Linked DNA regions of Caenorhabditis elegans. The protein of the gene in region 1 purifies or fractionates together with the protein of each later gene. This does not show direct contact. Each region holds a gene or a part of one and is shown in the gene's direction. Other genes may lie near its edges.

Region 1 (16,314 bases):
GTGTCGGACACTCTTTGAGCATGTGTGCCTCCTTTTCCGTTTTCTCCTGCTCCTTCTTCTTCCTCTACCCCGTCCTTCAGATCCATGTGTTAGTGCCACTTGCAATTACATCTCTCCATCTCTCTCTCTCTCCCTCTCTGTCTCAGGTTTGCTGCGTCTCAGCGTTTCTTTTCACGGCACCTCGATGCACTATTCGGCGCTCCAATTTTTCCTTCTGGCATAGGCCTGCTGCTACTGCCGTCGCCAAACTTGTGAATATTTCAAGGAGGAAGGAGAAGAGGAAAGAGTGAGAAAAAGTGTACGTGTGTGTGTGCTTGAATGAAGAGATGATGACTACTTTCCACTTTTATTCCCTGATTTTATGTTTTTTAAAGGTGGAATAAGAGTGATTTCAAACATTGTAGCTTGAGAATTAAAAATAACTTTGAAAATTGGAACATTTCAAATTGTATCTGCATATGGTTACTGAGTGCTTATTTACTTAGTTAGTTGGAACGTTATATCCTGAACTTTGCACCAAAATGTTTTTAAACGTTTTAATTATTTTGCAATGCTTTGTTTGAAACGTGAATCCATGGACCCACTGGGAAACTTTTACGTAGGTAGTCGGAATCAGGGGAAAATTGGGAGTCAATTAAAAATATTTCCAAGATCTCGGTACTCCACCTTCAATAATATTTGTTCTAGAAATCACAGCTTCACGAGTTTTACTGAGAACTTTCATATATATTATTCTGAATTTAAAATTTTTGATTCCAGAAAAAAAAGTCTAAAAATAGTCTAAAAATACTCTTGAACCAAAACACATACCGTGGTCGGCTCACCACCCCCTTATACATCGCCCACTTTGACTTTTAAATTCCCCCTAATTATTTGTGCTTTGTTACATTTCTTCTTCTTTTTTTCCAACTGTGCCCCACTCTACATCTTCTTCATTCTTTTCCTCTTCTCCTTCCAAATGAAAAAAAAAACGAAAAGGAATCTCAAATTTCTCCCCGTACCACTGGTGGTGGTGCCACAAGGTTTCCTTTTTTTATATATCTACATGTTTCAATTGAAAAAGCAGAAGAGTGGTGCTTTACGAAAAAAAAGAGAAAAAGAGATGTAGCATACCTGTGGAGAAGCAGAGTGAAGAACAAAACAAAAGTGTGGAAGAATGGGAGGAAGCATGGGAGAACGGGCACACTTTTTTGACGTTTAGCACTAGTTTTTCTTTTTTTAGTACTGGATTCATTTTTTTTCGAAATGTTAGTTTTCATCTAGTATGTAAAACTACCCAGACTACAGTCTAGGCTTATGTTTGGGATTAGGTTAGGCTTGCTCATAGGCGAACTTGCTCATAGGCAACCGTGTCTTAGGATGCGTAAGATTTGAGATTCTTGGAAAATAAATATTTGTTCCAAACTAATAAAAGAATTACAGAAACATTACAAACTGGCAAGTACTTGAAATTCGTGTTTCGTTCTAAAACCTAAATTTTTAGACGGTAGTAAATGATAATATTTTTTTCAATTTCTGTATTTTAAAAGCCCTTTAAAATTAATGAGCTAATAAGTACAAAGTAATTATTTCTTATAGTCATTTTTAAAAATTTTTTTTGATCATGCATCAACTTTAATAACTCATAATTAAATTTTTTGTTCTCACATTCAAAGCACTTTTTTTAAAAACGATATCAGTATACAACATTTTTTTCTTGGTTTTTTTTCGGTTTTTTCGATAAATTCGATTTTTGTTTTTTGGTTGAACTTTTTTTGCAACAGCCTAGTGGTACTTGATTTACTATTAGTTCGGCAACAGTTCGGCTTCTGTTATGCGACTCTTTGCCCACCTATAGTCGTTAGGGTAGAAGTACTGCAGTCACAGCTGTGCTCCTTTTTCATATGCCAAATGCCAAATTATGCCGGTTTTTGGAGCGGGACGTATGTCTATATGCTTTTTTTGAAATTTTCGACCCATGCCAAAAAAAAACTGCATAGCGAAATAGCTTTGTGCTCGACGATCGAAATGTCTGCTAATCTTCAATATTATGACTATGACCAAGGTGTGCGCGGCAATTGCAGTTCGGCAATTTTGGCAATTACCAAAATAGCCGAAAATTCACAAAACCGACAATTGCCGAAATTGAAGATTATCAGAATTAACCAGAAACAAAAATTTGATATTTTTTGTACATTTAGGAGCCTAAACATGCAATTTAATGAACAATTTTCTTTTTCAAGCTCAAAATGTTTTAATCCTTTAAGACCGTTTTCTTTCAGAAAATGACTAACCGAATACTAAAAAACAAGGTGAAAATTTTCCGAAAATGCCCGAATTGGCGATTGCCGAAAATTTCCAACACCGGCGATTGCCGATGTTGTCGATTGCAGGAAATCTCCAATTGCCGCACACCCCTGTAATGATATTTTAAAACTATGAAAACCTATTGCAAGGACTTTCAGAAGTGCGGTAATTAAAGTTAGTGCACACTTTTAATAACGCTTTCAACTCCAACTGAGAAACATCGAACTTTTCATTTTTTGTACTTTAATAATGAGACACAAAAAAGAAGGAAGCATTGCGTGTGAACTGATGCGTTTTGAATCTTATTACCTTCTTGCACACGGTGGTGATGATCACCATCTAAATGAATCCCTATATTTTCTATATTTAGACTCGCTCCACTTCCCGTGTAAAATACTTTTTTCAGGAATACGGAAAGGGGAGGGAAGAAATCTGAAAGTGACCATGAAAATAGCATATGATACACGGAGAATTGGAATTTCTCAACGTCTCGTGAAAATTGCCTTCTCCCCCTCCACTACTGGCTTCGCTGCTACGCATCGATTGCCGGGCACTTCTGGCGAGCAATTTCTCGCTGCGTCTCCAAACCCGCTCACACTATTTCCACGGGGGTCGTGGTCCCGTCAGCTTTTTCTCTTTTTGCAGAAAAAGAGAGAGAGAGAGAGAGCCACCACCAACTCGATTAACACCGACTTGAAGACGTCGTCGTCCGTGTTTTCTCTTCTTCAGGAGTCTTGAGAGTGACTTCAGAAGACACGACGACGACGAAAAAAGTTAAGTTGTGTGAGCCCTAGGGCGACGATTTTCTCGTTTTCCCCCTTACTTCGCACACCCACACACATACACACGATTTTACATTTTTTGCTAACTTTCCTTCTGCCCAAAAATGTGTCGCAACCTTCGTTTTCTTACCGATCATTAATCAGTTGACTCGAATCATCTCCCGGGCCACTTGCTCTGAACAAACATTGCCTCCTGGCTCCTCTGGTGGAGGTTTTCACTCGCACCAGCTAATCCTTATCTCTTTTATCTTGTAGTTCCTATTGACTTTTGACACTTCTCTGAAGACTTATCTTACAAGTTGCAAGAAAAGTAATAGGTGGTACTTTTGAAAAATTCGTTTTCTATCAAGTCTTTTATAACGTGCAAAATGTTGCTGTTTTTGCCATGTGACACTGTTTTTCCAAGAATTACATTCACGTAACCAGTTTCGATTTGCGACACTTTCTTTTTTAGAAATGGTGTAGATTCAAAAATCCATTAAATTTTTTTGAACAAACTTAAGACCCGCCTCAGCTATCCTTGTCTCATTTAGCTTGACGTTGCCTTGTCTGAATATTTGGACAGGGGTGAGCGGCAATTGCCGTTTGGCAAATTTTTGCCGACAATTTCGGCAAATCGACAAATTGCCGGTTTGCCGGACATTTTCTATTCCGGAACTGTGCCGGTTTGCCGATTTGCCGAATTGCCGGAAAATCCAAGTCCGGCAATTTGCCAGTTTGTCGATTTTGCCGGAAATTTTCAATACCGGCAATTTGCCGGAAAAAATCGTTTGCCGCCCACCACTGATTTTGATATTAATATGGACACGTGTTGTACAGTTTTTTTACGCACGTACATTTAAAAAGGTTATCAGAGCAAATATATACTTGTTTTTTTTTTAATTTAAACAATTCCAAAATTGTATAATTAAATAAAATCAACTCTAGAGTGTTACAAGATTGGCAATTAATTTTTGTAGCACCCTAAAACATGATCGATCATTTTTTTAAACACCTTCATTATCTTGTGAGCATCATAATAGTATTTTGTAAAGTTCATGACGTGAAAATGTTTTTTTTGAATTCAAACTTTTCAAAAACTATACTTATTCTTTGGTTTTCGAGATATTATATCATATTGGAAAATATATGTGTATCGTCATTTTATTTACTGCATACTGAACAACAGGGGAAAAGGGGTAGAATTAGCTGTAAGACGGCGTCTAGGTTTTGCATTCCAAGTGAATCATGCTCGTTTTTTTTTCTGAATTTTCCGTTATGAAATAGTTTTAAAAAAAAGTATATTTGCCAAATTCGTCAAGCTCGGCAAATTTGCCGTATTCGGTAAATATTAGAAAAAAATATTTGTCAAATTTGCTGAGCTCGGCAATTTTTGTAATTTGCCGCACACCCCTGTTATGGAAGACCTGTCGTTTTCGGAAGAAAGAGAAGATCTAAATTTCCAATAAAAATTTCTGAATAATTAAAATTTGAATTTTTTTTTGAGTTTTCTGGTAGATTATTTTCCAGAGAAATTATTTTTGAACTTCACGACAAATTTTCAATGAAAAATTGAAATTGAAATTTTTATTTTTATTTTTTTAAATTTTTGCATTTATTTGAAAAAAAAACCATTGCTTGAATTTTTTGAAACTTAAATTGTGAAGTTCTCGGAGTATTTTTTATGACAGAAAACTAGTTTTTTTTCTTGTTCAAATGAAGTTCCTAAATCCCCAAAACTGATTATAGTTTATTATTTCAATTTCACATGATCGACGGCTATATTTTTCTCTTCCCACAATTCTCAAGACGATAACGACCACAAAAAATAAAACTTTCACACGACAGTTTCCATAGTGATTGGTTTAAAGAAATAAGGATTTTTTAACGACCCAATAATATTCTCTTCTTCTTTTGAAATGGGGGAATTTTTGAGAAATTTGAGATATTCTGACCCATTTTTTCTTTGTACAAGCTTTAAAAACAATACATCAAAGATGAAAATGTAGTTTTTTGCATTTCAGTCAAAATTTTTTGGCGGCGATTTTCACGGTTAAATCCTTCAAGCCCCGCCCAAAAAATGGACAAAATTTTTCAGCGCAAATCTCAATTTGAACTTTCTGAAAAAAATTTTTGCAATTCTACAGGCCGCCCATGACGTTTCAAACTAAATTTTTTCCGTTATTTTTTCTCTTTTTCTCTCATTTTCTCTTCCAATTCAATGTTTTTGTCTGGCGGAAGAGCCCGGATTTTTCGATTTTCCGGTTGAGGACGTCTTATCAAAAGAAAGTGATTTCATTGGCTTTTGGTGTCGAAAAGAGCAATGCGGCTTATTATTCTTCTTTTGCTGCTTTGTGAAATTTGGTTTTAAGAAATTTTTCAAAAAAAAGCGAACCATCCCGAGACTTATAATTTTTGGAATTCGACCAAAAAATTTGTTCTACGAACATTTTACTTAAATTGACAATACAAGCAGGCCAATCTAGTCCCGGACTTCAAATTGAGACGTAAGTCATTTCAAAGCTTATGTTTAGACTAGATCACCACAAAAATTTCAGCGGCGGAACTTTAACTGAACCCCTGAAATTAGCATTTGAAAGTGGTCCAGTGCATTTTTTAGCTGAATTCTAGGTCAAGAAAATGGCCTTAAAGTAGTTCTGAGCAAATAGAAATTGTTTTTGTGGGTCTTTTGTGTCTAAAAACAATGTGGGTGCTTTTTGGAAATTATTATTTTTTCGAAAAAAATCTGAATTTTTTCCCTAATTTTTGCAAATTTTTTTTCAAATTCTAAAAGTGTTTTTTTTGTATCTGGGCATGCAAAAGGGTGCATATTTCTTCAAATTGAGCCTTTCGCACAAAATTTAAAGTTAATTTTAAGCTTAAAAGTCACTTGAAATAAGTAATTATTTTGTTGAAATAAGCAGAACGTACTAAAAAATTTCCGATCTCCATTATTCCAATGCAAAGTGCTCCTCTGGTGCCATATTTTTGTAGAAAGCTACTTGAAAGATTTGTAAGGTGCTCTTTCAAACTAATACCTACCACTGCTAGCACAGCCCCCTTTTTATTTCTATTACTTCATCGAAGACTAATTCATTACAAAATATCCGGATATCTCTTTTTTTTTTGAATAGGGAGCCCTCCCTCTGTGTTTATCTAATCTGCCACTTGTTTTTCCACTCTTCCGTCTCCTCTTCTTCTCCTAGTGTCCCTTTGAGACTTTTGGCGGTTACTGATACTACAACTAATACCCCCTACCAACAACTAGCCAGTATTTGATAACAAAAACAGCTATATATAATTTTTGAGATTTCTAGATTTTTTCTATCTATACAAAAATAATTTTAATTCCCAGTTGGGGTATATTTTGATGGCTTGACGTTACGGTGCCAGCCTACGGTTGGAAATAGGGGTGTGCGGCAAATCTCAAAATTGCCAAGTTCGGCAAATTTGGCATATTTGCCGAGCTCATCAAACCCCGAAAAGCATAAAATTAAAAAGAACTCAATTTTATGTTACTTTACTATAATTTTTGAACAAAATCATTAGCTTCGGTCAATTTTAAAAAAATCCAATTTGTGGTGTGTGCAGCAAATTTGGCCCCGCCACTTTTTGGAAGTTTGCCATGCTTGGCAAATTTGGAAAACCCAACAAATTCGCTGCATACACCTGGTTAAAAAGCGCCTATTCCCGTTCATTACTCGCCCGTTTGGCGCCCTATCCCGATGATTTGTTCTCATGGAAATTGATTACTAAATACTGATTGAATTTTTTCCTTTTTTATAGGACGCACACCCGTAGGGATTCTTCAAAAAAATTTAGAGTTTTCACCTCAAAAAAATTACTATTCAAATTTTATCTCGAATACCTGAAACTGCATAAAAAATTTTTGTAACGTGACAACACTAATTGCTCTTTAAAATATCTCAATTTTACGAGAGCTTCGTTAGACTTACTACTGGCTCAGACATTTCCTGATTGCAGCTGACTTCCAGATCAGAAGTGCACTAGGAATGTCTTTTAACTCTTTAATCCTATCCTAATCCGCTTAAGCTTCCACCTAAATCATCCCGAACATAAAATTCGTTCTTTCCATTCCCCCTCCTTTCCCAAGTCAGTACCTAAACCCTTCCCCCGAAAAAAATTCGACTACCCGTCTCACCCCATAACTCGATTTGGACGGGTGGGGTAGGCTCGGGGGCTCCGAGCTTTTACATATTTTTCTTTTTTTTTTCTGCTTCTATCTTTTTCTCTGCGTCTCGTCTCTCTTGTTCTTCGTGAGAAGCAAGAGAGAAAGAAAAACTGCATTTTTATGATTGTTGTTCAATTTTTTTTCTCTCTTTTCCCTTCCCTTCTCTTCATTTTTCTTTCAGATTTAGTAATTTTTTCGCTTTTATTTTTCAAAACAATATTAGAATACTTTGCCGCTCTACTTTTTGAGTCATTGCTAGAAAAAGGGGACCTTGATGGCTTTGACATCTAATATCTTGGCTGCTTTCAGTTTTAGGAAAACATTTTTAACTACAAAACTGTTGAACACAATTGTTTCTATATTTTTGTAGTTTAAAAAATTGTTCTGTCGCTGAAAATAACCGAGCTACAAGCCGATAAAGGTTATTTTCAATTAGCGCAACTATGTATGTTTGGCTTTCAGAATTTTACTCGTTTCCTGACAAATTATTACTCGTTCTTTAAAAACCAAATCTCTAATCAATTCGATTTTGCAGAACAAAAATGGCAGACTTGGAAGCAGTGCTGGCTGACGTCAGCTACCTGATGGCAATGGAGAAGAGCCGAAGTCAGCCGGCGGCTCGTGCCAGCAAACGCATAGTTCTGCCAGACCCGAGTGTGCGGAGTATAATGCAAAAATTTCTGGAAAAGTCGGGTGATATGAAGTTTGATAAGATCTTCAATCAAAAGCTCGGTTTCTTGTTGTTAAAAGATTACGCGGAAAATGTCTCCGAGAGTCCGTGTCCTCAAATTAAATTCTACGAGGCGGTGAGTATCAGAGTTACCAAAATATATCTCTGATCTCAACAAAGTTTCAGATCAAAGAATACGAGAAAATGGAGACACCAGATGAGCGATTAACAAAAGCACGAGAAATTTATGATCATCATATAATGGTTGAAATGCTCGCACATGCTCACGTAAGACTCAGTCACTTTAATTCTTCAACAAATCGCAAACTATTTCAGAACTACTCAAAAGAATCATTACAACATGTACAATATCATCTTCTTAAACAAAATGTGCCTCCAGATCTTTTTCACCGATATGTTTTGGAGATTTGCGATCAGCTTCGTGGAGATATTTTTCAACGATTTCTCGAGTCGGACAAGTTCACCAGATTCTGTCAGTGGAAAAACTTGGAGTTGAATATGCAGCTGACAATGAACGACTTCTCAGTACATCGAATTATCGGTCGAGGTGGCTTTGGAGAAGTCTACGGGTGTCGTAAAGCTGACACGGGAAAGATGTGAGTGGTGAATATGCAAGCCTGCTCCTAAAAAGAAAATGTTATGCCAGAAGTTCAAAACCAGGTCTAGAAAAACTAGGTTACCCTGGAGTACCAAAGATACACGTGATGCCAGGTTGTCCCATCACGGTTTGATCTCCAAAAAATGCGGGAATTTTCGCCAAAAATATGTGACGGTAGCACGGTCTTAAGCATAAAAAATAAGTTGAGAACTCTGCGTCTCTTATCCCGCATTTTTTGTAGATCTACGTAGATCAAGCCGAAATAAGACACTCTGACATTACGGGAAGAAATTATCAATATTACTGGACTTGATTAGAATTTCATATTCCAGGTACGCGATGAAATGTCTTGACAAAAAGCGAATCAAGATGAAACAAGGAGAAACGCTGGCACTAAACGAGAGAATCATGTTGAGCCTCGTCTCCACTGGACAAGATTGCCCATTCATCGTGTGTATGACATACGCATTTCAATCACCCGACAAACTGTGTTTCATCCTTGATTTGATGAACGGTGGTGACCTTCATTATCATTTATCACAACACGGAGTATTTACGGAGCAAGAGATGATATTTTATGCGTCAGAAGTTATACTTGGACTGGAACATATGCATAATCGATTTGTAGTTTATCGAGATTTAAAGCCTGCCAATATTTTGTTGGATGAGAATGGTCATGTGAGGGTTTCCGATTTGGGTCTCGCGTGTGATTATTCAAAAAAGAAGCCGCATGCTAGTGTGTAAGTTGTTTTCTTTCAAACCTGAACACATAGAAAATCTCAGACTTATAAGCGCTATTGGGAAGATTATACCTTGTATCAAACACATATTTTGACTCTTGAGGTTTTGCTAAGGAAAAAAAGGCAAAGGCGTTGCTAGAAATTTTAAAACTATTTTTGAGCCCTATAATTATGCCCTATTATTATAATTATAAGTCAGGGCTCCCAGCTGAGTGAGGAGCAAAATGCGGGTCCCACACCGGCGCCGTTACCCGCTGTATGTGTAATGAAGTGGGAAAAGGTAGTTACCTGAAAGCGACTGACACGTTCGGGCCCTCATTGGAGCCCTACTATCAGTATTTCAAAAAGTTTGCCTGTTTTCAAGACAGAAAATGAGGATCTAATCAAACTTTTAAACTTTTAAATAAATTCGACCAGTCACCTAATTGTTTCAATTTCAGCGGAACCCACGGCTACATGGCACCCGAAGTACTGGCCAAAGGCGTTGCCTACGACTCGTCAGCCGACTGGTTCTCGTTAGGATGTATGCTGTATAAACTTCTAAAGGGACACTCACCATTTCGTCAACATAAGAGCAAAGATAAGAACGAGATTGACAAAATGACATTAACACAAGATATTGAACTGCCGAATGAAGGATTGTCAAAAGACTGTCGAGATCTTCTGGAGGGACTTTTGAAACGAGACGTTCCGGATAGATTGGGGTGTCGCGGGAAAGGGCCGACGGAGGTTAAGGAGCATCCATTTTTCAAAGATGTCGATTGGCAAACTGTGTATTTGAGGTGAGTTTATATATTTAATAGAACCAAATTACTCAAAGTACAAAAATTAATATTTTTTGTCGTTAGCCACATAGATGTAAATTGAAAAGAGCATTCGAAGCCATACAGATCCGTTATAAATTTTATCGTCCTGTGCTGGTATTTCTTACAAACCACATTGTGGAAATTGTAATACAGTCCAAAACGGAAATTTAAGGTGAATAATTTTTAAGCCATTAATGTTGCAACAATTTTGTAAAATTTCAAGAAACTCACCAATCAGCAATTTTCCAGACGAATGACACCACCACTAATCCCACCACGTGGAGAAGTCAACGCTGCGGATGCATTTGACATTGGAAACTTTGACGATGATGAAGTGAAAGGTGTCAAGTTGCAAGACGGGGATTCAGATTTGTACAAAAACTTCAATATTGTGATATCTGAACGGTGGCAGAATGAAATCGCGGAGACAATATTTGAGGTAGTGAATCAGGATGCGGATAAGGCGGAGAGTAAGAAGCGGTCAAAACAGAAGATCAAGGTGGCAGTTGAGGAGAAAGGTAAGTAGAAAAAGATCCCCAGGCAAATCTGCATAATATTTGATTCCAGATTCCGATGTTATAGTCCACGGGTATATCAAGAAGCTCGGCGGCCCGTTCACCTCGGCTTGGCAAACCAAATACGGCAAGCTCTATCCATCTCGACTGGAACTTTATCCGGAATCATTAACTGCTAAGCCAGAGGTACGTTTGATTTGAAAACTGAGTAAATATAAAAATGACACATTTCAGTTAGTATTTATGGATCAAATCGAAGATGTGTGCGCCGAAATGCAGACCATCAAGGGAGAGACGGCAATCATTGTGAAGTTACGAGATGGGTTCAAAGAGCCTAAGATTTGCTTAACAAACTCGGTTAGTGAAAATGTTTTAAAGTATAAGACTGAAAAAAAAAACTGTCGGTCTGTCTATCTTGTAGTTTTTGAATTCTGTGGCATTTATTGAAGCGTGCCTTGCACTCTCCGCTGGTATTAATTTCTGCGGAATAAAAATTGCTATTATAAAATTAAACTTGGCTAAAAACTCTAAATTCAAGTATTCAAAAAACCGTTGCGGAAAAATTCTAAATTTATTTTTTTTATTTCTTGTAGAAATTTTTTCCTACAAAAAATTGCGGCAGAAAATTTAAAATTTAAAATTGAGTTTTTCAAAAATTTCTGCAGAAAATTCAAATCTTTATTCTTTCAAAAATACTGACGAGAACACATTTTAAACTTACAATTTTTTAGGAACAAAATTGACGCAAAATTCAAGTTCTGATTTTGATCAAATCAAAATTCTTGCAGAGAAATTTTCTTGTTTAAACTAATTCAAAATTTTAAACTTTGGGGTGCAATTCAAATTTGAACTTTTATAGGAGTGTCATCGTTATCAGATTTTTTCAAAATCTTGAATTTCAAAATTCCAGGACGAAATCTCTTTGAAAGAATGGCACACATCCCTCCGCACGGCTCACAAAGTCTCCCAGGAACTTTTGCAACGAATGGGCCGAAAAGCAATCAAAATCTATGGAGTCAATCATGACCCAATGTTATCTGAAAGTGAACGACCTGGTTCTGTGACAAGAGCCTTTCTGAATAGGGCTAGCAGTGTTGATTCTGGTGTTTAACTTGAAGAAAAAAAATTTTCCAAAATTTTATTTTTGGAAAAAAATCCCCCAAGCATTCCTCTATCTACGGTACCTTTTGTCTTGTGATCTCCTCGATTTTCACACATTTTCCTATAGTTTTTTTTGGGATAATTATTTTAGAACACTTATGTGCTCTTTTTCCGTGCACACATGATAAAAACCGCCGAAAAATGTATATTTTGAATTTTTTCATCAAATGCAGCTTACTACAGAGAGCTTACTATTAGCAGTACTTATGCCAATCTTGGGTCCCGCCACGAAAACAGATTAATGTACTTTTTGCGTGAAATCCATGAGTTCTACTTTGTTTTAGAATAATTATCCTAAAAAACTATAGCTTATCTTTAAAATTAAATTTATACATTCCTTCCACTCCCCCATCCATCCCTGTAAAAAAACCTGTATCAGATGCACAATTTATCGATTTTCACTGTGTTTCTTTTTTCTGTTCTAAAGATTTTTTATTTCATTATTTTTAATGTAAAAACTTTCCTTTTAGAATCTTACACTTTTTACCAATTTTACATCCATTTTCAAAACATCTCAAAAACCCATTTTCAGATAAATAAATTAAAAATTTATTTTATGAAATGAAATGAAATGAAAGAAAAAAAACTAATACCCGTTGAAATGTTGACCGGATGTTAACAGGATATTCATTAGGCAGGAAGTCGGACCCGTGATCTTTCCAGTCAAGGTCATACCTCTTACCGGCTGAGCCACAGGGCGCAGTTAAGTGGAAGCATGGTACCCCCGTAGCCGGTAAGAAGCTCTCCCTGGACAAAATAGGTCGCAGGTTCGACCCCGACACAAAGAGTTTTCCTTTGCTACCGTTTAAACACTTTGTAGACCATTTTCATCTGCTCCTTCGTCCATTTTCCGTTCTTCTTCACATTTTTTCCTGAAGAATTCCATGAGTACTTTGATGTCAGGTGATCGAGGTACCATAGTTGGCCATACTCTTTCTAAACATTTTAAAGGGAATTTTAGTAAATATTTTTGAAATTCATACCACAATTTTCTCGTTCGGAGTACAAGTGACCCAAAATATATGACCGTGGAGGTCTGCTGCACAGAATGGATCGTAAACAGGATAGGAGTACTTGTACTTGGTGCCGTCGGCTGTAAAAATGTTGAATTATTTTATAAATGTTTTTTATGAAAAATACTTTAATTTTTTACTGAAAAATTAGCTTGAAAATCACCAAAACAATTTCAAAGCAATTTTTTTATCTTCTTGGATTTCTTCCAATTTTAGAATGAAATGTTCAAAAAACTTACGAGCAACTCCACCCACCCAATGATGGGTCACCGATCCATTCTCCACACCCTTGTACATTAGAAACACGTCTATAAAAACTTTGAATCCAGTTTTCGGCGCCAATGTCAACTCGAACGAGTCATTAGTCTAAATTATCCCCAGGTTTTTAAAATTGATTCCAGAAAATTTAACAAACCATTCCGAATTTCCTCTTAATTCGAAAATCGGATAAATTCTGCTCCATTTGTTCCACAAAATTCAAATTAAAATCCTCTGCAAACACAGAAATATCCATATCCAACGTATGTGGGATTACAGAACATTCGCGGTACCATCCCAGAAGGGTTCCGCCATTTAAAAATGGGAACATTCGATTCTCTATGAGTTCGTCTCGAAGACGGGATAACACTTCGGATGATGGTCTCGCCGGCATTCGAACCTGGAAAATTTTCAGAATAGTCCAAAAATCAAAATAAGTATACAACAAATTTGAAAAAAAACATTTTTTTTCGGAAATTTACATTTTGAAAGCTCTCCAGGTTATTTCGAAAATCTCGAAGCTTCATTCTTTTATTAAATTTTAGAATTTTTTTAAAAATATTTATGTTTTGGTATACTGTCAAGTTTTAGAAATTACCTTAGACCCGGCTCTTGGGATGTGCAAATTCATACAGTTGACAAATTTGGCACGTTTCCAAAACTCCACGAATAATTTGATGTCAGCTGGAACTGCAAGATTTTCAACCCAACAAGTTGAGAATTTTCTGAACTTTGGAAAATTGAAAGGTTCAAGATAATTTAATAAATATTACTTTGGAATGATTTTCCTGGGTTCTGATCTAAAATCAAGAAAGTCTTTTTCGGTATCATTAGTGTAGTAGACAATTTCAAACCGGGAATCTTGCAGGAGCCACGTGGCGGATAGATATTTGACGTCCACGCCAATCTGGAACTAGGTGACTTTGATATGAATGAGGTGGGCGGCAAACGATTTTTTTTCGGCAAATCGGCAATTTGCCGGAAAAAAATGCCAAAATTGAAAATTTGCCTATTTGCCGAACGCCAATTGCAGCCCACCCCTGATATGAATCGATAATTTATGAGCAATTCTAACTCAAATTGTCTGATTTTTTTTGTGAAATACCCGCCAATTAAAAAAAAACTTGTTGAGCAATTTGAATGTGGTATTTCCTCTCAAATATTTTGAAACTCATTTGGTAAAAGTATATTTTTAATATCAACATGTTTTTTTCTATTCTTACTTTTGTTGGTCTTCCAGTTGGTAGATTACAAGCATTTTCATCTAACATCTTGAGTACATCAACATCAATCAGTAGGACTGGAACAGTTGTATTCAATGAGTTCAGAAAAGATTCACAAGTTTGATAGTGCAAAGCAAGCTGAAATTTACTTTTTTGAAAATTTAGCATTCATTTAAAGGCAGAGTAGCGCCAGTGGGGATTTTGTTTACATACACTCACAATGATCCATAACGATAGAATAACATAATAAAACAATCCAAAAAAATTAAATTTTTATACTTTCCTGTCAAAGTTTTTGCCAATATTTTGAAAAATATGAGCTTTTGAGGAAATCTATAGCAATGTCGTATGTTTCGACCTTCACAATGTTTTAATATAAATAATTAAAACAAAATTCCAGTATAAAAAATGTAGGAAAATTTTTTTTGGTGGAATTCCAAAATTATAGGTGGCAAAACTTTTTGACAGAAGATAAAAAATTTAAAGAATTTTTTAAAACGTTTTATTACGATATTCGGTCATTTGGGCACCATAGGAGTGGTTTTTTAACAATTTTCCAGCTGGAGCTACTTCACTTTTAATAAATCTTACGGATCGTTTCATGAATGGAACGATTGGACCGCCCGTGTAGTCATTTTCTTCGTTCAGTTGATTCCGAAATACAGTTGTCTGATAGAAGATCAGCATGGAGGATAGGAGAAGAAATGGAAATGAGAACAATACAAAGTGCTTTCTCATTCTGGAAAAATCATAAATACTGTTCAAGCTAATACGGAAAAATGTGTTAGAGAAGTAACGAAGGTCACTCAAAAATAATTTTTTGCGACCAAAAATTTTTCTCTCAAGAGAAAAGATAGAAGTGGGGAAAATTTGCGCAGAAACAGATGGTGACTTGATTTGTTTTTTTTTCTTTCTTTGTATGAACAGAAAGGAGGAAAGGGACACTAACAAATTACTTGTTTACTATTTATAGAATTTCAGAATTTTTATTTGCTTGAAGACTAAGTAAAGTTTTATTTTTAGATGTTGGAATTTTGAGTTGGTCTCGAGAATATCAGATTTGAAATAACGTAGAACTAAGAATAAGTCTGAGCCTGAGCATAAGCCTAAGCCTAAATCTAATCCAGCCTATTAAAGGTGTGCAAACCTGGAACATTAAAATATTTGATTTCTGAAAAATGAAAGTAAGAAAGGAAAAAAGAAATAAAAAACTAACAAAGGAACACCAATTCTTCTTTTTTGTGTTTTCTGGTGGTAGCATTCTATTCACGGTCGACTGCCTAATAACGAGAAGCCTAATGAAATGATAGTCGAGTTGATGTTTTTTGGTGAAAGAGCTTGGAAGTTATCTTCAAATGCGGAAGGAACGCTTTATATGACAACCAGTCAATTGATAAAACTATTTTCTGTATATGAGTCAACTAGAACAATTTTGTTTTCCTAAATATTTGAATTTCAGAGACAGTTTATCTATGAGTGTTTTGTTTACACGGCTTGTGGTGCTAGAATAAAATTTAATTTTGACATTTCAAAAAGATGGACTGTAAAGTATACATTTTATAGCAACTTAAAATGAAGTAGAAACAGTTTGGAAAGTGTTAAAAACTACCCCTATGGTGCCAAAATCACCAAATATCGGAACATGCGATGTTGCTTTGGATTTCCTCAAAAGCTTATATTTTTTCAAAATTTTGGCAATTTGCCAAAACTTTGATCGGAAATTAGGAAAAATCTAAAAGAAACATTGGAGTGTTTTATTATATTTTTGGTGGTTTTGAATAGTTATAAGTGTATTTAGTAAAAATTTCCACTGGCGCTACCCACCTTTAAAAATCAAAAACGCAATGGCTTTTGATTTTTTTCAAGTTTCAGTTATATCAGTTCAAGATTCAAAAATCAATCATCAAAAAATTGGAAAGTCTTGAAAATTTCATGGGGAACCCCAGCATTAGAAACATCAAAAAAACACCAAAAAAAGAAGAACACAAAAAACAAGTTTTCGATAGAGAAGGAATATTTTATCGATGGTACTACTACAATATTTATTAAGTATGAGCTTCTTGTTGGTAG
Region 2 (17,335 bases), on another chromosome or scaffold:
GAATAATGAACGAACGGATGGGTTGAATATATATTCATAATGATAATGTACTTTTCCGGAGAACCGAACGGGCGTCCCGGCGGCAATGGTGGTGCGCGAAAAAGAGAATTATGTGTGAACGGGATGGGATTTTAGAAATGAATTGGAACCATGGAAAAATGACATTCATGAATATCAAGTTTAGGAAAAAATCAACGGTTTGTAGTTTTTCTACTTTTGTACAAGAAGCGGCCTTTTTTTAAACTGTATTTGATTTAAACGAAAAGAAAAAACAGCTGAATTGGAACTAAAATTGAAACTTTACAGCACATTCATTAGATTGAATATTGTAAAAGCATGCATAATGACTTTCGAACTTTAAGATTGCTTCCAACGGACGTTGAACGTTTAAAGTTTTTCTGGGTATAACTTACAGAAGAAGAATCAAGAAAACAGTATCTTTGTCTATCGTTGTCTTAGTTCCTCTTTTAGTAGTGCACCCGATTGTTTAAGTTGGTCAGCTTAATTTTCAATTTTTATTTTCTCTATTAAAACATGGTCAACTGACAAATTATTTTATTGTTCTTTGTCTACTGATTTGTAGTTATTTATTTAGTTAAAATTTGGCGATACTAATTGAAAATAACGGAAATGGAAAATAATTTTGAATGTAAGCGGCAGTTTTATAACCCTATAAGATTCACTTCTCTTGCAAAAATGTACGAGATATCCATAACTATCTCTCTAAATTAAACACATGAAAGCAGGATTGATTAAATGTTCCCAGCTAAAAATATAATATAGCCTAATAAGTGATGTCAATGAATTTCAAGAATCTTTCAAAAATACCAAATTTATCGAGAAATATGATAAATTCAAAGAAATCTATATGACGGTCATTTGAGCCGGAATCGGAGCAGAGGGTGGTGCTAAAGGAGTCGATGGCCCGGCAGAGGTCAGGCCAGTGCTTCTTTCTGCTGCCCTCGCTCATAACCCGTAGCTCCTCTACTGTTCAATTTGTTACACTCATGGTCTCTCTCCCTCTCTGATATACACTAGCCGCGACCCCGCCGCTGCGAAGAGTTGGTGTCGACCCCCGGCCAATGTTTTACTCTATCAGAGCCTAGTCCACTGCACACGGATAACATAGAGAGTGTTAATCAAGGAGACCGCAGACGGTGCAAAACGTCTATAAAAAACGGCGGGAGCACAAAAAAGCAATGGATCTGCAAGAAATGAATCTTCTCTCATCTTGACATCGAATTGAGTGAGCTCTATGTATCTTACAATTGCTCCTTGGAATCAATGACTCATTGAATTGGAATCGCGCCTGCTGTCCTTTTCTCTTTTGATGAATTGAATGAATGTATTGGAAAATTATACATATATTGAACATTAAATATAAATTCAACGTAACTGAACTAAACAAGTAGGCGAGTGGTATAAGGAGAAACAAGAAAACTTAAGGTTTGCGGGTGTTCTTGTACACTTCAAAAAGCTCGGCTAATGTTTCAGGTGGTAGTTTTCTCATAATCCGTCTCATCATTCGATTGGCTTTGTTTGTTGGTAACTGTTGTGCTTCCAATAATTCAAGAACCTAAAAAAATTAGATTTCGGTTGTACTGGTTGCTTTGTATGTTAAGTTTTAGGTCTTGTTCTTACATTCCATCAGAAATCAGAACGTCTATTTCGTGACTAGACAGTTTGGAATTGCAAAATGTTACTTTCTTGTAGTCTCTTGTAAACTACAAAATCATTCACTAATTGATTTGAGTGCTGTGGTCAATGGCATTTTGAGTCCTAAATTTTTCTAATTTTTATTTTCGAGGTACAATAGAATTGAAGTTATTCAATAAAATAAAAGAAAACTGAACATACTTTTTTAAATTCAAAATTTGAGGCTCTATAGAGATTATCGGTTCTATAGAGATCGTCATTGTCTTGTGTGAACAGTAAGAATATAAAAATTTAGATTTGGTTTAGCTTAACATAGCGAGTTCAAACGACCTGCTCAGCGAAGCGACTGAACTTCATGGAAATCTCTTGCAGCTAGAAACTTAAATTTATAAACTGTTGCAATGAAATTGCAAAAATTTAAAAATTTGTGGATTAATCGGAGTTTACAAATACGATCAAGCTGTTCAGCAAATTCTTGCAGTCTTCAATATTGAAATTCTCACAATTGTTTAGCTACATTTTATGTACGACTTTCCAAACTTCAACTTCTTGAATGTATGTAAATTCATCACAGCTTTTGGCACATTTTTTAAATGCTCAATGTTCAGAAGTATGGTATAAAGTTGTGACGTTTGCCAATCGATGCTGACGAGACCAAGTAATTCGTCATTATTTTGAGCACAAAAAATGGCCAGAAAATTTCATGATAGGAACTTTTTAATTGATTCTAAAACGTTTATCAAATATAGGATCCTGCCCAAGTTATCAAGTTTGAAGAATTCATTTTTTTTAAGATTCCAAACAAAGTAAACTGATAGAATTCAGAAAATACATATATTAGCACGAAAATTTTAAAAAGCTTCTATTAAAAAGTATGAATCAATCAATTCATGAGAAAATTTGTAGAAGAACTCCTACAACTTTTGAAATTCAGCTGTGTGAATCAATAGAACCTGTCAAATCACTTTTTTTAGAAACTCATTCCTATCTATAAAACTACTCAACCTTACTAAATCAATGATCGAAATCAAGCCTCTCGGTTTTGTAGATACTAAAATGGTCAACTTCTAAAATCAAGTTTTAAGTTTTGACAAAACACATGTTTGATACATGTGACCACTTGTGTTCCTTGTTTTTAAACATAAGCCCAATTCTGCGCTTTGGAATTTGGACATTCATTCCAAATATCACGACTATTTCTAATTTGTCACGCAAAGTGCAATTCACTTGTGAAACAAAAAAAAACTAAAATTTTGAATCTATGAAGAATGTGATCACACCTACATTTACGCGTCTTTTGTTCTATCACAATACACTGTCATATATTTTTTGATTGCGCGGGCTAAAAATCTCTAATTCAAAAGACGCCAGAAGTATATGTGGTAACTATCTTAATATATCAAACTTGACGACTGTCATTTAATATCATTGTTTCATTTCACTCACGATGTCACTTAAAGTCGGATCGAGTTCGGTCAGGAATTCTTCAAGTCCCACTATTTTTTCTTCTTCGCTGTGAGTCTCTGTAAAACTTTTGTCATTTAAATTATAATCACTAGAAATTTGAACAAAGTGTTTCTAAAAGATATGTTCACACTTCAATGCATGCAATATCTGCAAGACTTTTACTACATGACTCATTTTTGTTCGGTACTCTAAGGCTAAGAAAATGTCCCAACCTCCAAGAAACATGGTCGTTATCAAAGTCATCACAATCACAATTTTCCAAAACTGATTTGTCATCCCGAATAAGATAAGATAATTGGGGGATAAGGTGAATCAGCTGAGATGATGGAGAACGATGTTTCCTGTTCCTTTTGTCGCTGCTGCTGCCGTTTTCTGTAAAATTACGATGTCTGAACTATGAATTGTAGTAACACAAACACTAGGATGCGAGGGCGAGAACAAAACAAGAAACAAGTGATTAAATGTCCTCCAAGTATTTGATTCAATTAGTGAAAACTCGCGATGACAAAAAGAGACTGTGTGATGATAATGATGATTCTCACATTAGCATTTTCTCTCTTATTTTAGGAGGTGGTTAATGAAAGAAAATAAATCTACTAAACTTTTTGAGTTCCTCATTTTTGTTCTATTTGTTGTTTTTTAATTGTTACCAGTCCAATATTTACGTTTTACTCTTCTGAATACATTGCACTTGTAATCGAAAACACTTCATGCCATGTTTTTACTGGACTCTTACTTAAGTTTCATGATGTCTGTTAGTTAAATTATACCAATTATTTGATTTGTTTTAATTGTATGAAATTCAAAAAGAAGTTTATTTTTTTTAGTCAGTTGTTCACTTTTACACTTGTTTCAAAAATAATTTTTATTTTTCTAACACTTAAATAATAGTCGTTAATCAATGTATCTTAATCAACGAGATAATGTGAGATAACCGGCCAAAATGTGCAATAAAGATTGATAATCAAATGAAAGGAAAATATCCAAAAAACAGTAAGACGGAAAAGTAAGCAAAATTTAAGACCCAGCTAAAATTGCTAATTTTTTTTCAAAATGTTGAACCTCCATTAATTTTTTTGAGAAGTCTCTTATTACAAAATTGGACTTTTTAATATTATTATGATCTATTCGTTCAAAATACTTAAAACCGTTAGTTCTCTTTTAATAACCTATTAATGATAATATTTTTGGGTGCCTAGCAATGTAGACATGATCAGAACAGTTTTGCTTTTTAGATTATTTATTGAAAACGGAAATATCATTCTTCAATGTTAAATTGATATATAAAATAGTTTACTGAAAAATATTATCTTTATTAGCTATTCTTTAAATTTAAAAAATTTCAATTTGTAATATCGTTTTTAAACCCGAAATCATCAAAACCTTTATGACATTTGTATTGTACTTCGGTTTTGTAAGTAAAAATAAGAATTGAAATGATTCCAACATCTTTTTGAAATGTTCTTACAGTTGTTGGATTTCATGAAAATCGATTTAGCCGTTTTAGATTAATTTATGTATAAGGTTTTAACGTAGAGGTTAAAATTTAAGATAACTTTATTTTTGAAAAGTTGCTTTTCAAGTTTATTTCTAATTGATTCAGACAGACATATAAAAATTATAACATCTTTTCAAAAATCACATTTTTCAATTGTTTGCCGACAAAAGGGCATGTACAATGAACTAATCAATCGGAAGCAAATGTATTTTCTTTGCATACTTATACCATACAGTTTCGCACTATCTCTGAAGACGTAACCCCTTTTACATAGAACTGAAGCAGTAATAAATAATATGACTCAAATGTGAATTCAGTTGGTTACATAGTTTGATAAAAGAAACGAGACCAAACAAAACGTTAACTTAATTCGTAGTAATAAGCGACCGGTAGCATGAAATTGGTTACGACAGTTTGAGAATGATCAAGTTATCAATTATTGGTTGTAAGGCGAAAAAAGAAGAGAAGCAGAGAAGACGTGCACTCGATTATTTTCGAAATCGTCTGACGGTCACTTTCCAAAACAAGAGAGAAAGAAGGCGTTGGGGGCAAAAGGAGGCGATGATAGGAGTATGGTCTTGGTAAGAAAAATAGAAAAACCAGATGATGATAACCTCCGATACAATCATCAATTGTTTCCTTGCATAGTGTCACATAAGGTAAAACTATTTTCCTTCCTTGTGAAACTTTTTTGGCACATATGTATTACAAACAGACACATTTCCAAAAACCCTTTTCCCAATATCTAATTGTTTTTTTTTAGATAGTTTGAATGCATATGCCTTTGTTAATTTAAACTAATTTTGTTTAAAAAATTTGAAAATATTCTGTCAACTTTTGTATACCTGAAGTATATTAAACTTGTTAGACCTGCAGTCACTTCTAGCAAAAATGATATTATGGACTTCTAAAAATTACATACAATTGATTTTTGTTATTTTCGGAACTATTATCTCCTTTTACTGGCTCGAAGTGTCTAAGTAAGCTTGAGAGCACAAAGGACCCCCTCTCTTGTTTTGAAGAGTAGTTTCTACAATACTGATTTTGATAAGCCATGAAAAAATGTTATTATTTGAAGAGAAAAAAATCGTAAACATGACTATTAGGTACGCAATACTAAAATGTAGAGACCGGGAAACTATTTTTAAACCATTTATTTTGAATTTAAGCCAATTATTTTGAAAAAAGACGTTCGGAATGATAGAAAACCAACCAAAAGGTATATGCAAATATTTTTCCAATTTTTTAAAAATTTTTGACTGTTGGAGGTCTAGTATGAAATCTGTCAGACATGTTTGAAATAATCATTTTGTATGCAAGGTTAAAGATGCAAATATAATAGGGGGCAAGACATAAAAGAAGAAAAACGGTATTCGAAAACTCTGGTGACTGTAAATCACAAGTTCTCAACTTCCGAAATAAATGTTCCTTAGCTCATTTCAACTTATCAATTAATCTATCTTCCGTTTCATCCCATTTACCATTTCTTTTTTCTTTATCACTCTAAATACATATTTTCTGATAAGATTTCCGTTTCTGATTCATCTTCCCGTTTTTGTGTGTGTTTTCTTTAAGAACTTCTTGGGGGCCGCAGGTCATTTTAACACTCTCCACCCTCCATTTCGTCTCCATTCCATTCAACCGCATCGATCACCATCACCAACCGTGATGTTCTCGTTTTTGTGGTTGCGAGTAATGTAATGACCGCCTAATGAAGCCAAGTGTGGTCGCTTTTGTTTTCAAGATTTTTTCACTCAAATGTTTTTTTTAATTTAAAGTGCATCACTGAAGATTGATGTGTGGATATTGTTCTCTTTTTGTACTTTCTACAATTCAGTGATTCGAAGGTTGAATGTAACAATTAATTTTTCTGCAGATGTCAAATGAGAAAAATAAAAATGAGAGCACAAATAAAACCAACGAAATTGGAAATGCTGAAAAAAAAGAAGAAGCAGAAACAGAAGACAAGAAATCTCTGAAATCAATGATCTATCCGATTGAACCGTCAACGTTATATATTGATGATTTGAAGAATAGTAAGAAAGGTTAGTTCAATGAGTTTAAGAAATGTTTTTATCGTTGTTAAATAGAGTGTTCCCGGGAAAGTTGTGATTTTGAAGCTTATTGGATTCCAAGAATTGTGAACAATTAGTTATGAGTATAAGTAATATTGTTTGTTCTAAATTTAAAAAAAGTTGTCGAGTTTTTTGCAATGGTAAACCTGTGCCTTTTGAAATTTAAATATTGATAGATTTTATTTACTACATCATATTAACAAAGCTGTGAATTTTAGTAACTTTTAACCTTTAGTAACTAAGCAATTACATAAAAGATTGTGTCCAGATTCAGTTGGAAAAGCCGCGTGCGGCTTTGAACTCACACACCAAAATGTGAGGAATTCTGATACAGTGAATGTACCCCCTAAATTTTTTTGAGTGGTTCTATTTCTCTCATTTATTTTTCAAGTTGGATTAGCTTGCTATAATGAAAATGAATTTAAAAAAATAATTATGTGATTCGAAAAATTGAAAATTGCTTCTAATATAAATTTGACTTGTGATATGAGCGTATAGGCCCTTTTTTTAATTATCTTTACTCATTCAGCATATGACGTCACAATGGACGACCCCTTGGATAAATCCTCAGATTCCAAGCCAAAACTTGGATTTTTCGAACCCTACAAAAGGCTTTATGCGTTTGCCGATAGTATTGACATGCAGGTTTTGATTAACATTACTTTTATTCTATTAAATTTCATTTATTCAGCTGATGGCGATGGGTCTGTTTAGTGCACTACTTCAGTCTGCACTTCCTCCATTTGTTTGGCTTATTATGGGTAATTTTGTCTCAATATCAATTTTAAGAGAGGTAAATTGATCTGAAATTCTTTCAATGATAGTTTTTTGAAATGTAGGAAGGAAAACTTGGACTGAAAAATCTCACATCGGATTACCCAATCGACGATCAGTTTGCTCATTCTGCAACACCCGCTTTCATTTCGATGTTGGGACTGTCGATTGCGATGTTTATTGCAGCTTTCTGCCAGGTAACTTGTTTTGACATTTTCCGCCGATTTTATGGGTTTCTAAGTGTTTGTTGACTGTATTTCACTTTCCAGCGAATTGCTTGGGAAATTTCGTCGATCCGTCAAGTGTTCCGCATCAAGAAGGCATACATTCGAAAGTTGCTTCTTATGGATATCTCTTGGCTTGAATCCCGACAGAGTGGTCATGTTGCCGCAATGTTGCAAGAGTAAGATTTCCGCCATGATAATGATGATAGGAGTAAAGATCAGATAGTTCTACAACATAAAATCAACGAATAAAACCTGAAACCCCTAACCTTTACCTCGCGACAGGAGGAGAAAAGCAATGATAATAAATTTTGGTGGTCACCGAGGGAATGGGTGATAGTGGGGACAGGAGACTGGAATACAAAGGGATAGTTGTAGTTGTGAACGTAGCACAAAAGGAAGAGAGGTGAAATTTAGAATAAAATCACGCATGAACTTCGAATTTAATATTTTCAAGTTGAAAAGTTGTATATCAAGTGCTACCACAATATGCACGTACGTTAAATTTTGTTTTTCAGATCTGCTGACTCTATATACAATGGAATTTCCGATCATCTGCCCATGGTTGTCTTCATTTTATCGTACCTACTTGTTAACATTGGCGTATGCCTGTACATTCAGTGGGATGTGACACTGTTCATGTGTCTCGCGATCCCGCTGCTTATCATATCACGTATACTGTACAGTAAGGTGAGAGAATGATATAATTGATAGATAGGCTTACCGGAAGGAGTTTATTCAGTGGTTTGCAAACACAATGGAGGAGGAGACAAAGCTGCAGAACAAAATCACAAATCTTGTCAATGAAACGTTTAATTGTATAACTACGGTGATCTCATTCGCCGCTCAGAAACAAAAAATCAACAAGTAAGAGTATTGGGTAAACGGATTAAATGATATCTGGCAACTATTCAGGTTCGAGAAGTTATCTGCAGAACATAGCAAACTAACAGAGGAACGGTTGAGATCATCAGTAGTCTTTGATAGTTTAACACAGGTATTGGAATTCTCAATTTCTTACTGAAATATTCGCAATAAAAATTTTCAGATCCTCCTGACAGAGCTTATTTTCACTGGAGCACTTTGTTATGGGATTTGGAGGGTTGCTGACAATTCGCCAGGACGTCTTTGCGCAGTACAACTTTTTCCCGTTTTCGCGTACATTTTTAATTTACAGCTTGCAATCAACATGCTTTATATGTGTGTGACTTCTATTTCAATTGGCTTCCACATGAATGGAGCCACAAGAGCAAAAGATAACGCAAAAGAGATTTGCGAAGTTTTAAGTAAACAAAATTTGAAATTTAATGTACAGTTTAAAAATTGGTCCACATTCAGACGAGCAGCCAAAAATTGAAGTGGAACTTGCTTCAATTGACAACAATATCGACTATGTTCCAGTAACAAGGTGCAAGTATCGAAGACAGAGTATGAAGTTTATGGGTAAACTAATGAAGTTTATAGAGTCATGTGAAATTTTTAAAACTTTTTAGGGAAGGGAGCTCTTCACTTCCGCGATATTCACTTTTCGTATCCAAGCAGAAAAGAAACTGAAGTACTTCGTGGAATCTCATTTAAAGTAGAAGCTGGTGAAAAAATAGCGATTGTTGGGAGTAGTGGTAGTGGAAAAAGCACCCTCACTGCTCTACTGCTCCGGTTTTACGATCCAACTAAAGGAGCTGTAAGTTATTCTAGTGTATTTGTCATAAACTAATCTAGAAGCTATCAGATATTACTTGACGGTGAGAATATTAAAACGATGTGTCCGGATGATCTCCGAGGACAATGCTCCCTTGTTAGCCAGGAGCCAGTACTCTTTGATGGAACGATCAGTGACAACATTCGATATGGAAGGTTGGATGCCACTCAGGTTCCTTTTGATAATTTCAAACCGTTTTACCTTCAAGTTAAACTTTACAGCAAGAAATTAACGATGCAGCTAGGAAAGTGGGTGCATGGAAGTTTATCAATAGTTTACCTGATGGAATGCAGACCAGAGTTGGAGAACGGTATGCATGCATTTTAACTCAATTTTTACAATAATTTATCTGAATTCAGAGGGCACCAATTATCTGGTGGTCAAAAGCAGAGAGTTGCTATTGCTAGGGCAGTAATTCGTAAGCCAATTGTGTTGATTTTCGACGAAGCAACCTCTGCACTGGATAATATTCACGAGGAAGAAGTTAATGCAGCCATTGACTTAGCTTCCGAAGGTTTGACTACAATTACCATTGCACATCGGCTTTCAACGATAAAAAATTCTGATAGAATTATTGTATTGCACGAGGGGAAAATTGTAGAAGAAGGAGTGCCGGATGAGTTGATAGCTGATGCAAACGGAATTTTCCACAAAGTAAGCTTAAAGAGGGAGGAAGTATTTGGATAACATAGAAAACAATTCACGTAATATATAACCATTTCAAAGCTGAATGATGGTCAAAACTAACTTAGAAATACGATTACAAGTTTTCGATGACTGACACGGTGTGATCCCTAAATTTCTAACAAGTAAATAAAAATAGTGTCAAAGATTATTACCTCAATCATCCTTTTATCTTTTTTAATTCCCTTTAAATGGTATTTTTCTCACGATTCCAAATTTATTTCATTTTCTCAAAGTCAACTTTTATCTCAATCATGACAGATGTACAATGACCAACGCCTCGACCAACTGACTCAGCAACACCAACAGCTGCACCAGCAACAGGCAAAACCGCCATCCCTACAGCAACAGATGTCGTTCAGTCCTCCACCAAACATGGCACGTTGTAAATCAAACCATAAACCTTTATTCTCGTAAATTTTCAGGATCCCGATCAACAACGTCGTGCATGGGCACGCAGTTCGCTGGGTGGCAATAAAAAATTGGGAAAGTCGTACTCTGTAAACAGTATGGAGAAGGAAAAACTGAAACTGCCGGTGATGAGCAAAAAAAAGTCTGAGAGATTAGACTACAAATATTCAAAAGTTCACAGTATGGATGTGAAACAACACACGGACAGTATGCACGACGATGATGTAATCCGAACATTATTTTTTATTAATGTTGCTCAGGCAAAACTTTATTCTATTTTAGGATCTTCCTGGAAAAGAGACAAACTTCACAGTTTTAAAGGATCTTATCTACTCCTACAGAACAGGATTGCCACTTTTAGCAGGTGCTATACCAACAACAATTGTTAGAGCAGTTTTCTACCTTCTGATTTGTTTTCAAGTAGCGTCAGTGTTAGAGGTTACTCGATACTTGCAGCGTTCTTTTCATAATATTCTAACATTTTAGATTTCAATTGCTCCAGATGAGGAGCGAGCACTTCAGATTTTTATTGTAGCTGCAATTTATACAGCTTTGATCATTGTCAAAACTATTTTTGAGGCGCTTGGGGTAAATTTACTTTTGATTTCCCAAAATCCTTAATTTCCCCAATAATATGTTTCAAATTTTAGCGAATTTTCATCGCACTTTATGGACATGGCTTCTGCAAATTCATGAGAAATGAAATGTTTAGAAAGGTATACACTACTCTCTTGGTAAACTTTCGAAGCTTGATTTCAGGTTCTTCGCCATGGCGCTGCATACTTTGACGAGGAAAGAAACAGTCCAGGAAGGCTGGTTCACAAAGTGATCAACGAGTCGTCTACGTTGAATGAAATTATGGAACAAAAGCTTGATATGTTGATTCCTGGTGTTGTCTGCTCGCTGTTCTCCATTGTTTGCGCGTTATGGATCAACTGGAAAATGGCTCTTTTGTGTTCCTTCCAGTTCCCAGCATACTTTGTTATCAGAATATTACAAATCAGAGAAGGAACGAAGAGGTAGCCAGTCCATTAAATTTAGTCCGTTTCAAAAGTGTATTTCAGACAAAGACAAATGGTGGATGAAGAAAAAAAAGCTGCTAACTTAGCGTCCGTGGTGCTTGCAAACATGAGTACAATCAAAGCATACAATCTACAATCTCATTTTTATAACGTTTTTTGCGATGCTTTAAAACCAGTATCACAGTGAGTACAGTAATCGGTTGATTTAGTTCTAAAATTTGATTTTCAGATGTATGCAAAAACAATCCCTTATTTCTGCTCTTGTTTTTGCATGTCAATACTCGTTCACCTATATCCTTATTGCAATTACTCTTCACTTTGGAAAAGTGATGATGCTGGCAAACGAAATTAGTGTATTTGATTATATGAGGTAACCAGAACAGATCAGCAGAAACATAAAAATAAGAAAATGTCATTTAAGAGTTGTTCTGCTCACTCAGTTTGGTGCCAATTTCTTCTCACAACTCATCGCATCTGTCAGTGACTTTACCAAAGCGCAGATTGCAGCTGAAAACGTTATGAGGGTGATAAGAGAACCACCCGTTGACATGGATAACTTATCAGAGGAAGGCTTAAGACCGGTAAAATTATTAACTAAGCCAAGGAAATACAAGTTTTCTATTTTAGAAGCTGGAAGGAAACCTCTGTCTTAAGGATGTTTCGTTCAGATATCCTTCAAGACCCATTGTACCAGTGTTGACTAACTTGAACTTGAAGGTCAGTGTTTTTTTTAATACTTATGGGTTTCGTTCCCCCAAAATGTTCTTTTAATTATTTAATACTGAATTTTTAATTTTAATCCACACGTGAAAGTTTATTTTAATACTATTTTCATTTTCAGGCTTAGGAAACCATCTTCCTAAGCCTGAGAATGAAAAAAAGTTCACGTCTCTATCAAAAATTATGGAAAACATATTGAGGGGAACGAAACCCATAAGTACCTTTTTTGCATCGAATTTCAACGATCAACTTAAAGGTCAGGGGTGGAGAATCAATTGCACTTGTAGGACCTTCCGGGTCCGGTAAATCCTCGGTGATTTCTTTGTTCCAACGAATGTACAACGCCACGGATGGTGTTGTTATCATTGACAAGTACAACATCAAATCTATAAACCCGGCCTATTTAAGAAGATGCATTGTACAAGTCGGCCAGGAACCTGATCTTTTCTCTTTCACCATCAAGGTATCTTTAACCATTTATCAAAATCACAATAAAATGTTCTTGTTCTTAGGAAAATATTGCTTTTGGAATGATGGAAAGCGAAGCAACAATTGATAAAGTTATCGAAGCTGCAAAGATTGCGGACATTCATAATTTTATCACTAGTTTACCACAGGTGAGTTTAAAAATAAAACACATTAAAACAAAGCAATTTAGGGCTACGACACAGAGGTTGGAGAGTTTGGTGCCCAGCTCTCTGGCGGTCAAAAACAAAGAATTGCAATTGCCCGTGCAATTATCAGAAAACCAACTGTTCTACTGTTAGATGAGGCAACATCGGCATTGGATAGCGCCAGCGAGAGAGAAGTTCAAAACGCTTTTGAACGAGTCAAGAGGAGTACGAAGACTCAATGCACGTGTATTCAAAGTAAGAATTAGTATATTGAAACTGAAAAGTAATATTTAATGCGGTTTAAACTCTCAGCCAGTACGTCACGAGAATTGGCAAATCTCTAACGGGAAAAATGTTTTTTTTCCAGTCGCTCATCGTTTATCAACAATTCGAAACGTCGACAAAATATACGTTATTGTTCATGGAGAAATTGCCGAGGAAGGTAGCCATGAGCAGCTTATCAACTTGAAGGGTATCTACTACGAAATGAATCAAATGACGTAAATGAATTTGTTTTGGCATGCAAAAACTACACTCTGAATCTGGAATTCATAATTTGTAAATAATAGTTGTTATTTTTATAAAAATTTTCTTATCTGACACACTTTCTGAAATTGAAATTCAATAAAAATTCACTTTATTCAACATATTTTGCATGCCAATTCATGAACCCGTATACAAATAATTAGAATCTCATTTTCAAGGAATGTGCAACAAATATCCGACTGGGGTGGTGGAAAGTGTGGGGGTCTATGTTATAATTAAAAAATTAAAATCGACTATTCCTAGAAGGATAATAATCAGACGAATGACTACTCGGACCAGGGTTTGATGGAAGGTCGTTGTAAACTGGTGGACTACGGTCATAGCTGTTATATTGAGGAGGCGTTGGTCGCGGATAACAAGATGCTGTGGCATGGGGATCCAAGTACGTCTCGGGAGGTCCAATTGAGTATTCTGGATACATTGCTGGTGGGGAATGGTACATTGGTGAGTTGTATGGTTCTGAAGAAATATTTGTTTTTGGTTCTAGGTTCATAGTTTCTTTAATAGTATATTGTCTCAATCCAATTCGAAGGTGGAGTAGCGTCAGTGAAAAGTTTAGTAAAATAATCTTAAGAAAAAAACAAAACAATCATACAGCCGAAATAAAATATTACGAAATATATGTATTCTTTCAAAAAGTTTTGGCACCCCCACTTATAGAGCAAATACGTTAATTAAAAACCTTCATTTCACATTTAAACAATTTTTACTTCCAAAAAATGGGTAACTATGTAAAATGAATAATTGTCAAATTTTGATTGTTATTTTAAAAAAGTTGAAAAATTACATCTATAACAATTTTCCTAAGTTTTTTTTTCGCTCTCACAATGGTAAGCAAAACTATGTATGTAGATAGAATCTTTGGAATCCTGCGTTTATCAAAGTTGGCAATATATAAAAACTTCGGGAAGTTTTCGGCAACGAACAATCGTGTTGCCGAAGCTTTGAAAATTATCGAACATATATCTTTGTTGAGCTTATATTTTAAACTGCTTTTCTAAAGACATCTTCAAAATTTTGACATCCGGCAAATGTCAAAATGGCCGAAAGTTATTTGTTAAATTTGATTAGCTTCCTAGAGCAAATTAAATTGTCATCTTATATCTTACTTGATGAATCTCGTCCGGAGCTGTTGCAATACGAATCCATCATAGTATCATCTGTTAAAGGTGTAGACCATTGCTCTCCAGCTCCCTCACACACTTCACCGCTACTATTTAGTGCTTCGCTTCGTGGGGTGGTCATGCTCATGTGACCAAATTGGCTCTGTAATACTGACTTTTTCTTAGAGTTATCCCCCATTTTGTGTTACCTCTAAATATGAATTGTATCTTGGAAGAGTATTCCTTGTCTTTTCTCGCTTCTCATACATCATCTTGAGAATATTATTTGCTAGACTTGCTGTAAATTTTCAGTTCTACTTGTCTATTGGTGTGCAACGTTACCTAATTCAGGGTGAGTTTGAGATTGCATTTGAACATTTTGAAGCATTTTAACAAGAACGTCATCTCTGTCAAGTACGTTTGCCATTTGCTCATGATGCATCAAATTATAAATCAAGGCCAGAGCCGATGATTTCGTGTTCTCTTCAACGTTGGCTTTTTGTAATACAAAAATTGGAAGAGTATGACCATCGCCCATTCGGCTATTTTCAGGAGTTTGCAGGAAGAAAACAACCTATAAATTGAAATTTGGGTTTTCAACCTGAAAACATTAATACCTCGTTGAGAATGTCCTGGTCTCTTGTAATCCATCGCAGGATTTGAATACAAAGATGAATGATATCTTTCACGCGGACACCTTCGATAGATTCTTGCTTGAAATCCAACAATTATTAGTCGGTTTGTTGACTTTTTACTTACCACATTCAGCTGGGTACATGCCACTCTCAAAATATGAATGAGTTGCTCAACAAAACCTTTATCTCCAATTCGGCATGATCGGAATGGAGCAAGAAGGGCATGTTGGGATACAACTTTCAGCAGGAGCTAAATTAAATCTCAATTTCTTATTAGCCCTTCAAATTAATGACTTACACTCAATGTGTGTTTCAGCAATACTGGTCTCATTGTTAACAATTTGTGTAGAAATAATGCAGGATCTCGGAAAACAAATGCTTGGACCTTATCTGACATTGGATGTCCAACACAGAGATGCCGTAGCGTGCAAATTAGGCTTTCCTGAAAACCGTATTGTTAAGCTTTGAAATTTAAATGTTATTACAATATAATCCTCCATTTGCTGTGCTTCTTTATCTCTCAAGTCACCCATCTCTTTGGTGGCAATTGTTAAAGCTCTCACAAGAATGACAACCCCATTGTTGCCACACATAAACTCCTGGAATTAAAATTAATACTATATCTTGATTTCTGACAAAAGCACCTTGTTATGCCTGTTGTTTGCAACTAGATTTGACATTATCTGAGCAGAATATAGACGGATTGTTGTATTTCGAGAATTGACCAGCTCCAGAAGAGATTTCAAAAGTAAATCTTCTTTTATTTTGCTTGGTACGTCACTTATATTTCGCAAAGTTTCAAGGGTTGATTGTACAAGTCGCGGACTACCATGTGAAAGAAGATTGGCGAGAATTTGGCGACCACCAAAAGCAACAAGATTTGGAGCGTCCTGGAAAAGTTCAGACATTACATCCTTCAGTTTCAAATATTTCTTACAAAGTTCGAAAATGTTTTCAAAAGTTGCGTAGTTCGCCAAAGCAAATTTTCATAAACTCTGTGTTGTAGTAGCATGAGCAGTTTTTGAGGTCCTCCCATTTTCACAAACTTGATTTTCTGTTCGGTGTTCTTTTCACACAAAACTCTGATCAAGTCAACTATCACTGGAAGAAGTTTTTCTGATTTCTCCGCTTCTAACCACGGAGTCACATGCTGCAATTTTTTGTAAATTTTTTTTTTTCAATTTTTTTTCTTCTTTAATCTTACAGTAATCGCATCTTGTTGACGCGCAATGATCACACTTTGTCCGCCTCTCTGCTTATCGGACAGAATCGAATGCATAGTAAGAATGGCATATTTGTATATTGAACTTGGATAAGTACTGTAACAGCTATTTGAATGATTTTTTTCTGAAATTTAACTTTCTTACCCAATATGCCTAATAAGATTTGGAATTATATCAGGTTGTTCTGCGATCGCTCGAGTGACAAGATCAATTCCTTCCTGTCGGTTGCAAATGTGGAAGAATGTTCCCAAAGTGCAACGAATGATGTTCTGAAAATATATGATGTATTAAACTGTGCAAGTGCACAAGCTATACCGGGAATTCAACTTTGTCACGGAGAAGATCACGCAGTGTAAATATAACACGGGGGTCCACAATTCGAGCTTCATTTTGCCGTCGCATTGGGTCACACTCCATCTTCGCAATATTTTGCATCAGAATTACAGCTTTGTGCACAACCTCCTGTAAGATTTTTGTTTGAATAATGTTTTTTTCAGCAGAACAATCAATTTTTTTAAATTTTTTCCAGATACTTCAATTTTGATAATCGATTTTAAATGTTACAAACAATCAAAAGTTCAAACACCGGCTTCATCAGTAAGCAGCATTAGAACCAATTTATCTTTGTGTTAATATCAGTACTGAAATCAAAAGTTCATAGTTTAATTTCAGATTTTGTGATTTGAAAATTTAAGTGAATAAATTCGACTAAATATTTTTCTTACTGTAGATTTGATAATTTATTTTGAGTAATTGAAAGTTAAAAATCAATTAACATCATATTATACCTAAATGAAATAATAGTAGTCCAGTAATAGTAGTAATAGTAATAGTAATAGTAATAATAGTAATAGTAGACATACGTTTCTAATTTTTTAAAGTTTTTTTTTCAAAAATTTCAGTCACAGTTCTGATAAGTTGCTAAGTTTTCCAAAAATTTGTAACATTTCGAGCATTGTTGCATGTTGGAATACAAGATGTTTG

The links.
Region 2: the proteins of grk-2 (region 1) and pgp-10 fractionate together in Caenorhabditis elegans (co-fractionation; one large-scale study listed by BioGRID). This does not show direct contact.

The regions. Positions count from the first base shown.
Region 1 is NC_003281.10:668,348-684,661, forward strand, and holds grk-2 (G protein-coupled receptor kinase 2), read left to right. Parts: upstream 1-7,774; 5' UTR 7,775-7,781; coding exon 7,782-8,045; intron 8,046-8,095; coding exon 8,096-8,197; intron 8,198-8,245; coding exon 8,246-8,526; intron 8,527-8,860; coding exon 8,861-9,268; intron 9,269-9,708; coding exon 9,709-10,050; intron 10,051-10,323; coding exon 10,324-10,592; intron 10,593-10,641; coding exon 10,642-10,775; intron 10,776-10,823; coding exon 10,824-10,946; intron 10,947-11,499; coding exon 11,500-11,700; 3' UTR 11,701-12,302; downstream 12,303-16,314. Other genes in the region: W02B3.3 (uncharacterized protein), read right to left, coding at 1-86; W02B3.4 (uncharacterized protein), read right to left, coding at 12,549-12,686, 12,734-12,843, 13,003-13,129, 13,179-13,421, 13,620-13,746, 13,795-13,928, 14,245-14,382, 14,836-14,982. UniProt on the Caenorhabditis elegans protein: Specifically phosphorylates the activated forms of G protein-coupled receptors. Required in adult sensory neurons for chemotaxis.
Region 2 is NC_003284.9:7,152,539-7,169,873, forward strand, and holds pgp-10 (P-GlycoProtein related), read left to right. Parts: upstream 1-6,497; coding exon 6,498-6,666; intron 6,667-7,225; coding exon 7,226-7,341; intron 7,342-7,387; coding exon 7,388-7,489; intron 7,490-7,535; coding exon 7,536-7,667; intron 7,668-7,739; coding exon 7,740-7,873; intron 7,874-8,212; coding exon 8,213-8,384; intron 8,385-8,436; coding exon 8,437-8,561; intron 8,562-8,609; coding exon 8,610-8,691; intron 8,692-8,742; coding exon 8,743-8,829; intron 8,830-8,871; coding exon 8,872-8,980; intron 8,981-9,032; coding exon 9,033-9,137; intron 9,138-9,187; coding exon 9,188-9,375; intron 9,376-9,423; coding exon 9,424-9,564; intron 9,565-9,614; coding exon 9,615-9,703; intron 9,704-9,752; coding exon 9,753-10,047; intron 10,048-10,338; coding exon 10,339-10,455; intron 10,456-10,502; coding exon 10,503-10,712; intron 10,713-10,770; coding exon 10,771-10,926; intron 10,927-10,974; coding exon 10,975-11,076; intron 11,077-11,138; coding exon 11,139-11,204; and 20 more. Other genes in the region: C54D1.7 (Antimicrobial peptide), read right to left, coding at 1,442-1,576, 3,103-3,179, 3,336-3,399; bar-1 (Beta-catenin/armadillo-related protein 1), read right to left, coding at 13,614-13,849, 14,500-14,656, 14,703-14,791, 14,836-15,067, 15,111-15,206, 15,253-15,378, 15,427-15,570, 15,614-15,727 and 5 more.